2 linked regions of the Macaca fascicularis genome follow. The protein of the gene in region 1 interacts with the protein of each later gene in a pairwise test. Links are inferred from orthologs where the notes say so. Each region holds a gene or a part of one and is shown on either strand. Other genes may lie near its edges.

The links. The genes of interacting proteins can lie anywhere in the genome.
Region 2: the proteins of FAM9B (region 1) and SLPI interact in binary tests that used the Homo sapiens proteins (3 or more experiments, as listed by UniProt). The two-hybrid records come from large-scale screens. The link is inferred for Macaca fascicularis from reciprocal best matches to the Homo sapiens genes FAM9B and SLPI.

What each region holds. Positions count from the first base shown.
Region 1 is NC_088395.1:8,681,742-8,686,577, forward strand, and holds part of FAM9B (protein FAM9B), read right to left. Parts: intron 4,755-4,836; coding exon 4,723-4,754; intron 2,946-4,722; coding exon 2,846-2,945; intron 2,000-2,845; coding exon 1,888-1,999; intron 511-1,887; coding exon 412-510; intron 1-411. UniProt on the Homo sapiens protein: May play a role in meiosis.
Region 2 is NC_088384.1:101,336,367-101,341,903, forward strand, and holds SLPI (antileukoproteinase), read right to left. Parts: upstream 3,530-5,537; 5' UTR 3,509-3,529; coding exon 3,424-3,508; intron 2,702-3,423; coding exon 2,543-2,701; intron 2,123-2,542; coding exon 1,973-2,122; intron 1,395-1,972; coding exon 1,390-1,394; 3' UTR 1,214-1,389; downstream 1-1,213.

The sequences.
Region 1 (4,836 bases):
TGCCTAGTGTTCCATATAGGAACGCTAACCTTGTGGGAATCATGTATATCCTACTGCTCAAGGTCATTGCCAAGGTCTGATTTTTCATACACAAAAACAATTTGCAACCTCTGGCATAAATAAGTTAATGTGTTAATAAAGTGTCAATTTTATACATAAGATGTATATTTCTAGGTAAAATTTCCACTTTACCTTTTCCTGTTCTAAATAACTCCTACAAACTATTCATGAATCCTAAAAATACATTTACCAATACTATTATATCTGGAACAATACATTCAAAGTGAAAATGGTAAGTAATTTAAAATGTATAACCAAAATGTCTTTCCATACATTCAGAAACAAGCAGACTTTCTTCCATTATGCACGTGGTGTATTTTATAATGTATTATGTTACCAAATAGAACAGACCTTTAAGAATTGGTCACGTAGCAGCTTCATCTCTTTCAGCCTCTCTCTCCTAACACTTCTATATTGCTGCCACCTCTTCTGTTGTTCTTGAAATATTTTCTAGAATCCCACAACAAAATAGTGATAAAAATTGGGTAAATTTTAATACTTACAAAACACAATTCTCCATTAGCTTTAAAGGAATACTCTTTAAATCAATACTTCTGAACACTTTCTTTTAGACAACATTTAGGACCAATTTTAAACGATCGTGTTCGCCAATCACATGCTAAAAATGATGTATTAACCTTTTTCATCAGTCATTAAGTAAATAATTTTCTTACTTTCACATATTCAACACGTATGTCCTAATTTCTCGATTTCCAATGAAGAATATTTGATGAACCTTCCTACAATTTGTTGACCACAGATAGGTAAGATCTATACAGAAATTAACTAAGACACATTCTTTCTAGGATTTTAAGCATGTATTAAATCTTGGTCATTTCAATAGGCACATAGATGAACCACCCAATAATGATGGCCTTTCTGCACCTTGATTTAATCTCCAACAACAGTGTTCTCCTCTCCTCTACGTGGCACTCACTCACACAGTCATCCCCTAGATTTTGTCATTCCCAATGACTGCAACACCTATGTAATATTAATAATAGCAATGATAAGGAGCAACCATGGGTCAGATCACATCCTGAAAAACTTAAATAAACCTGTTACATAGAAACCTTTTGATCCTCCAACAACTCTGACGTAGGTACTCTTACCATGTCTCCTTTCGTAGATAATTTGCCCGTGGTTTCTGAGCTAGCAATGGTCAAGCTGAGATAAATAATTTTTCCACGGTTTCCGAGCTAGCACAGAGATAAATAATTTTTCCGTGGTTTCTGAGCTAGCAACAGTCAAGCTGGAGTTGGATCCCAAGCAGTGTGGCTGCATAGTCCCAGCCCTTGAACCACTGTAGTCAGCTGTTTCTCCATCTTCCCAACATACAGCCACTACCTCCCTGCCATTGTAGGTCACTCACTTCAGTACTATAGCTCAGGAGTCTGTCGAGACCTGACACCCACTGAATGGAGCACTGTTTACTGCCCATTGCCCACCCCATGTGCTCGGGTAACTCAGTCCCAGCTGAAATTCCACAGCCAGTCATCTATCCTCATCCCTGCATCTATTCCCTGCCCAACTCTCCCTCTGTCAATCTGCTCGGCTAGACCCCAACCCAGGAAATTCCAACCCTACAGCTGCTCTTACACAAATACTCCAACTGGGCTCACTTCAATTTCTTCATCGTTATGATGCTGACTTCAGTTGGACCCCTAATGCTGCATGGCAATTATATTCCCCTGGTACATGAGTCCACTAACGGGCCCCCTCTCTGGGCTCATGCACTCTTCCTTCTTTGCTGAATTTCTGCATGAACAATTACTCCCTGAGACATTGATACAACAGGTTAAACATAAAGCTAAGCCTGATACCAACAATTAGTTCTTCTTCTTCTCCCTCTTCTTCTTCTTCTTCTTTCTGCTCATCTGTGATGTATTCTTCAAGGACATTCAGCAACTTCAGAGAATGTATATAATCACGTTTCTGCCTGTAATACATAATAAGTAACACGGTCAAACTTCATAGAGAGATGAAAAATTAATCCTATTCAAACCCAAACTGACTTGACATAATTTATCCTATAAAGTAGCAAGGGAGTAATAGTAGCTGAAATCTTCTTTTTGGAAAAAGGTGAAATGAGTTGCTCTCATTCTGAAAGGATTCCTTCCTTCCTGACTACTAGAGCAGCTATCTTATATTCTTTACCTGCTGAAGACAAAGGAGGGTTTACTGCACTATAAGTTTCCCAGAAACATTCATTTTCTCTAAGAGCAGTTTACTTTTCATTTCCTTTTACTGAATAACATATGGGTTCTCATAAGTAGGTTCAAGAATATCATAGCCATTCATCCCGTAAGATTTCCCAGAAGAAATGCTTCACTTAACTATTTCTCCACTTTGGCACACCAATGGTTTTGTAAAAGAAATAGTGAAAACAATTTAACTAAAATAGATAACTTATTTACAACATAAGGTTATCCCTTTCTACATAATTGAGTATCGTTAAGGATCTACAGACTAAACATTGAGAACATTTATCTTATATGCAGCTACCATATTTCTAGAAATGGATAAACATTAATTTTACAGGAAGACTATTTTTATCTGGAAGGCAAAAAGAGGTCATCTTCATTGACTTCTAGGTAATATCTCTTGATTCTGTTAAACTGAGGTTATAAAACTAAAGAAACTTACCTGCTTAGAGAACAATCAAGTAAAATATGTTGTTCACTAGAGACGCCAATATGTACAGGGTAGTTTTTGAAATTATTTGCACCAACGAATACAAAGAAATGATATAAATATCATTACGCGAGAAAGCCAACAGTCATACCTTTTAAGTTGTTTTTTTCTCAAAGCATTTTTACTTTTGTTCTTTGTTTTGCTGCAAGCTTTATCCATTTTCATCTTTTTTCTTTTTGCAGTAAGATCCTCTTTAATGTCAGTTAGTAAATGAAAATGGATTAAAAGTTAATGTTGAAAAGTAGTTTATTTGCATATACTGACATCAATATGGGACATTATGGTTCAGCAATACAAGAAGGATATTTAAAATATAAAATTCAAAAATCATTTCAAAAAGCAAGATTTACTCACTTATTTTCTGTAAAACATTTCAGGTATTAATATTCGTATTTCAATTCCAATTTGTATAGCTGAAAATCACTTAATTGACGGATGATGAAAAAAAGCAAATAATTAAAAGTTTCTATTTTTTAAATGTGCAGAAAGGGTTATAAGCACAGACTTTAATTTCTACATTTACAAAATGTCCTACAATTCAAAGGAGATGTTTCCATGAAGTACTGCACAACTCATTATGTAAAGCACACAAAAAAGTATCATATAGTAAAACCATCCAAAGGGTAGAAATAAGTTAATACACAGTAAGAAAAGCATTTTTAAGCAATCTAGTGATTGATGCTATTAACTGTATTTTAATAAAAGAAGCCATGGCCATGAGTATGAAAATTTAGGTTTAGGTAAAGAAATACACTCAAAAACACTTTTAAAATATTTTCTTGCAGCTTTTTATATGACATTTGTGCCCATAGTGCTGTGTTTCAGAAAACTGTAATACTGCAAGGAATGCTTTCCTAAACATGATTTCACATCAGAGACCTACCATCAATTGCTAAAAACAGTTTTCAGCAATCATAAAAGATTTGTACCATAATGCAAATATTTTTTACATACAGTCTCCATCTATAACGCCCAATGTATTAGGCAGCTCACAAAACCGGCACTTTTTGTCACCAAGCAGAGCAAAGCTTTCCAAATATACTGCTTGTATGAATCATCGCTATCGAAGAGCTGAAAACTGAATTGAGCTTTTCAAAAGTAAGAGTATTGTCTCCATCATCTTTACAGAAATTTTCTCAAACTTTTTTGAAAATATGGTCCCTATAACAGTGCAACTAATATTTCACACAGCAATATAAAGTTTATGAGTTTTTGGATCCAATTACATGTTTCTCACTAGATAGAAAAGTTGTCCTTACTTTTGTACTACACAGTTTATTACTGGAATAATAATAGAAAATGATTTTAGAGAATTCAATTTTCTCTTGTACTTCAAATAAAACAAAATCAGAAAGCTGTGACAATAGAATAGCTAAATTAAGAACATGAAAAACTCTTATTAAAAACTCTGAGTACATATGGACAGGAAGAAGGGACCAACAGACAACTGGGCCTACTTGAGAGTGGAGGGTAGGAGGAGGGTGAGGATCAAAAACCACCCATCAGGTACTATGCTTATAACCTGGGTGACAAAATAATCTGTATACCAAAACCCTGTGACATGCAATTTATCTATATAACACACCTGCACATGTACCCCCAAACTTAAAGTGAAAGCTTAAAAAAAACCTGATATATGACTTAATCTGCGTACACTAAAAGGAACGAATAGAGCTATTTCTCCTCCAATGTCCTCTAATATTCTCCAAACAATTAAATTTCCACGTGTATGAAAGAAAAGCCATCCATCTCGCTTCACCATTATTAGAAGCATTCTCACATTCCACATCAACAATCAAAGAGGTAAGAAAAATTTATCAAACAGATTACATTAAATACGTATGTTAAATGCTACATATGATAAGCCATTTAAGACAGTCTTGTCATCCACTGATTCATATAACTTACTGCAACAGTTGCATGATTGAAAACAATTTTCATAAACGACAGATAACTCCTAAAATATACCTGCAGTATCTTCTGGCTTCTTGGTATTAGCCCTGTAAAAAAAGTTACATCAAAATTTTAGCATAATACTACACAAAATGCCATGTTTGTTGGGAAAAGAAATGTCTTATGTGA
Region 2 (5,537 bases), on another chromosome or scaffold:
CTGCAGTGAGCCGTGATCATGCCACTGCACTCCAGCCTGGGCGACAGAGTGAGATTCTATCAGAAAAAATAAAAGACTAGAGCAAGACTGAAAAACCCACTCCACGCTCACTCATGTGTTTATGGATGGGCCTCCGTTCCTCATGGGCTGTTGGTCAGAAGTGTTGGATCCTCACCCTGTGGGCCACTGCACAGATGGCCTGAGTTTCCTCATGACCTGCCAAAAGAATGCCCTCAGAGTAAGTGATTGAGGAGAGAGAGAATGCCTCCACAATGGAAGCTGCAAACATTTATCATCTAATTTCGTGAGGACATAACTATCTCTCACTTTTGTAATGTTTTATTAGTCACACAAACTAACTGTGGAAAAATGCAGGAGGGGGCTACACAAAGGTGTGAATACCAACAGGTGAGATCACTGGGGGCCAACGTGAAGGGTGACTGCCACACTCATCAAATAAATAAAATGGTTCTCCCTCTTTTTCCTCTTCATTGAATTGTTAATTTAATATATTCCCTTGCTGCTCTTAGAGCATTGTTTGAAAGTAGTAAGGAAGAATTTTTAGTTTGCTGACTTTTTCCAGGGAAGGATTGAATTACAATATTTTTTAAAATCTTATCTAATCAAGTTGTCTCTTTCCTCTGGAATCCACAAAGCAGAGCAATGTGGAGCAAGGCCCTTTGCCTGCTCCTTAGCTCTTAGCAGTCCCAGTTCCTGTTACTCCTGCTCCGTGGAGTCAAGGACACCACCACCCTTGCATGGTATGGCCAATAGTGTGCCATAAATGCTACCCATTATGGTAACGTTCTCATCGTAAAATAGAAGAAATAGTGTCGTGGGAGAGAGAGGAAATTAAAGAGACTCAAAATCACTCCAGTAGGCCACAAGTAGCCCCTATTTTTTGAGAACTTGCTGTGGCCTAGTAACATTGCTATTTATTACACACACAATGCTTCCTCCAATGTTCCAAATGCTGTGAGAAGTTGACTTTTATTGCCACTTCACAGACAAAAGAATTGAAATTTAGGAGATAAAAATCACTTGTCCAAAATCACAGAGCCAGTACTTATAGACTCATGATATAAATTCAAGTCCCCCCAGTCCCTATGCCTCTTCCTCCCACTATATACCCATAGGAGGAAGGCCTCATAGCTAGATCTTCCCTCATAGCCTCCCACCCCACTCATAACCCCAATGAATCACAGAAGCAGGGTACAAAGAGAAATAGGCTCATTTATTTATTCATTGATCAACTGGCACTTCCTGAAATCCTGCTGTGTGCCAAGCCTTTCCCCAAAGGAGGATATCGGTGGTGGAGCCAAGTCTGGGGGTGGAAAGGACCTGGACCACACAGAGCAGGACTCCAGAGCCTCCTCCAAATCACAGGAATCAAGCTGTGAGAGAAAATCAGATAAGAGCTTCAGCATAGAAATCAGCCAAATCATATTCACATCCTTCCTTCTGCCCAAGGATCCTCCTGAGATAAAGAAAATAGCAAGATAGTGCTATAGTTGAGAGAGACTTAGTGTCAGGAGACAAGTCTCATTTTCACCGTAAAACTCTAAATTGAAAGCATTGAATTAGATAATCCTCAAACTCCACGGATCGTTTGGGATTTAACCTCAGAAAACATGACGGAAACAACCTGAATAATAAATTCTTAGTGCACATAGTGCTTTGCAGAGCACTTTCAATCTCATTATGTCCATTTTACCGATAAAGAAACTGAGACTCAGAAAGTCACTTGCCCAGGACCCCCACCCAGAGACACTAGAATAGAATCAAAGCCACAGGTGATCCTATGGAAATCCTGGCCCTGAGACCTAGAGAACAGTTCTCTTGAAGGACAAGGGAGTCAGACAGAGGCTCTGCTTGGAATAGGGGTCAAGAGTCCCCCAGCCCATATGCCTGGGCCTCCAGAGGGTTGAGGCTGAGATGGAGGGAGCTCAGTGTGCCCTCGGCCCCTGCTTACCTTTCACAGGGGAAACGCAGGATTTCCCACATATGCCCATGCAGCACTTCAAGTCACGCTCGCACTGGCCATCCATCTCACAGTAATTGGGGGGTTTAAGCATCATACATTGGCCATAAGCTGGTGGACAATGCCCAGGCTTCCTCCTCGCTGGGTGAGAGTGAGGCTACCAGTCAGAGGCCTTGTACTTTACACAACCCCTCCTATCTCCACTTTTTAGAGTGAGCCCCTGCTGCAACCTGAGCAGGTCGGATCATCCCCCCCGATCTCTATCACCACCACTTTCTCCGTAAGTCACCCCCCAAACATAGCACCTGGCTGTCCTAGAACATCAGGCCCCCGTTGATGCAGGGGGCCAGTCGTCCAGTGCTGACTAGGTGGGAGGCTTCCAACTACCTGACTATCTAAATGCCCGCTGCTTCACCACCTGCTGGCTACCTTCCTGCTTAGGGCATGTGACTCATTGACTGATTGACAAGGAGGCCTGGCAGGACCCATCACCCAGTGCCATCCCCCTAATGCTGTGTCCTCAGGCTCACTCCTCTCTACCCAGTTCCCCGATCTGCTTACTTGGGCTTGGGGTGTCAACAGGATCCAGGCATTTGATGCCACAAATGTCAGGACAACATCTCTTCTTCCCTAGACACTGCCAGTCACTCTGGCACTGAGGTTTCTCATATCTAAGGCACTGGGCAGATTTCTTAGGAGGACAGACTCCGGCTTTGAAGGCTTTTGAAGAGAAAGTCAAGAGGTCAGGAGTAGGCTGGGCACTGAGAAGTCATCATGCCTGCTGAACAAAGCACCACTTTTGAGGGGGAGAGACCCTTACCTCAGGAGCTATCCACAAAGCCCAAAGGGTCATGCCTGCCTGATCTCCGGGTGGATTGATGGGCTTGATTAAATTGGACAAATGGACAGGGGATGTTTCAGACCCAAGAAAAGGGCAGCAGGCTTCTAGTCAAGACCTCCCACCCCAGAGCAAAACAGGGCTACACAAAGGCAGAGAGGAAGGCTGGGAGTGATGGAGATGGAGACAGATAAACAAAGATAAATAGAACCAGTGTGAGAGAAGTTGAGAGCTAAAGCCCAAGGCAGAAACACAGAGACAAAATAGCAGAAGCGAAGACACAAAGAAGAAGCAGAGTCAGAAACTAATGATTTGAGAGTCACAGACAGGTGAAGAAGGCAGAGGATAAGAGAGAGAGAGACAGAGAGAGAGAGAGAGTGGGATCTGGGCCGACAGCATGGTTGCATAGAAAAAGCATTTCCAGAAGCTCAGAAACCCTCACAGAAACCTTGGAGCTCAGCCAGACATGTATTCCACTCTCAGGGAGGTCTCCTGAAACTAAGCTGAGAGATCAGAGCCTACAGAAGGGGACACACCCACATCACCAGGAGACCGCACCTCTGACCCTGCAGCCCAGATTAGACCAGAATGACTCCCAACTTACACTTTCCAGAGCCTTCCACAGCCCAAAGTGCCAGGGTTCCCAGGGCAAGAAGCATCATGAAGGGGAAGAGGCCACTGGACTTCATGGTGAAGGCAGGAGTGACTCTGATGGCCAATGCCAAACCTCACTATTTATTCTTTCACCAGTGGGTGTGGCCCAACCAGAATTCTTTTGGCCTCTCCCAGCTACTATTGCATAAGCAGGAAGCTTAGCCAGAGACCAGAAATCCTGGCACCAAGGAGACGGTTTATCTTTCCTATGCCAGGTGAGGCTTTGAGGTCAATACAGTAATTACCAGAAAAGAAAGGGAAGAGGTTGGCCTGAGAGGTTGGCTGATTAAAGAGGCCATCTCAGTGTCCATCTGAGCCCTAAACATCACGAGACCCGAGGCCATTAGCCTTACAGGTGGAGAGGGGAAGAAGTGGTCAATTGCAAAGGTGCTACCTGGACCTGGAACTGAAACCAGATGCAGACCCCCAGCTGAGACTTCGTGCATTACATCCTATTCTCACATTACGAATTCTGATTTTCACATTATTGGACTCTAAGGCATTGTGAAACTCTGCTGAATGCTCAATGCAGTTTCTTTCTCAAAAGTTCAGCTCATTCAACCAACCGATACTTAGTTCCCTGAAATATTTACACCGTTTATCCCCAGTGCCTGTCACAGGAAAAGCATTCACTCAACAAATGAAAGCTGAAGAAGAGCTCTGCTCTCAGCAAATCTCTTCAGAGCTCAGTTTTCTCAGCTGTGAAATGAAATGATACTAACAAGTCAGCCCTTCTCAGAGGGTTATGAAATTAAGGGCATGAAGGGACTCTGAAAAGAATAAATGAATTGTATCCCTTCCCACTAAAGAGAACTGAAATGAATCTGAGATAAAGGGGGAAAGCAGCTCATCAGTCACTGTAATCAACATTTAGCTATGAGATAATTTGAGATCTTAGAGGACTGCTTCCTAAAATTCCCCAAAAACCCTTACAGATCTCACATGACAGCAAAAAATTAAACTCGTTCTATATGCTACCCAATCTGCATAGATTGCTTCTAATTATAAAGAGAGTCATCATTATCTCTAAAATTCAGCCCATAGCTGAGTGTAGGGTCACATACATACAGTCTCAGCTGCTCATGAGGCTGAGGTGTGTGGATTCCTTGAGACTAGGAGTTTGAGACCAGCCCTGGCCAGATATTGAGACCCTATCTCTACAAAAAAATTTTAAAAATTAGCCAGGCATGATGATGTATGCCTGCAGTCCCAGCTACTTGGGAGGCTGAGCCAGGAGTATGGCTTTAGCCCAGGAGTTTGAGGCTGCAGTGAACCATGATTATGCCACTGCATTCCAGCTTAGGGAACAGAGCTATACTCTGTCTTAAAAAAATAAAATAAAATAAAATAAAATTCAACCAAACCTCATCTGGCTGCAAACTCTAAGCTCTTGACTCACTATCTTCATGCTTAGAATTCTCCCATTCATTCCTAAAGTGAATGTTTGTGGAACTTTTCACAGACATGAAAGACTCACTCATTATCAAGTAGTGACAGCCCCACATGAAGTATTTAAGTATTCCACAACCAGACAGTCAACTGGCAGCAGATCTGTTTATATGAAAGTCACTCCATGGTTTAAATTTTGGTGGATCAGAAGACTTGGACATAATCAATCAATCATCAATCAAATTTTGGTGGAAAAAGAAAAGGACGAAAATTAATATGCATGAGGTAACTACTATGAACCAGGTACATTCAGTCCTAGTTGGTATTTAGTAGGGCAGGTAAGAGAGAAATGGAGGATATGATTTCCGCCAGTGGGTAATGACACTCTCAAGTCAAGATTTTTGTTCTCACCTGCACTACCCAGGGGACAATTTTATTTCTCTCACATAGTTTCTGTTCTCTCTCTCTCTGTTTGTTCCTATTTTCCTCAGTGCCACACTCAAGAAATTGTCTGGAGTTTTCTAAATATTTGTTTCTTAAAGAATGAAAAGGGGCTGGGCATGGTGGCTTATGCCTGTAATCCTAGCACTTTGGGAAATCAAGGTGGGCAGATCACTTGAGGTCAGGAGTTCGAGAGCAGACTGGCCAACATGGTGAAACCCTATCTCCACTAAA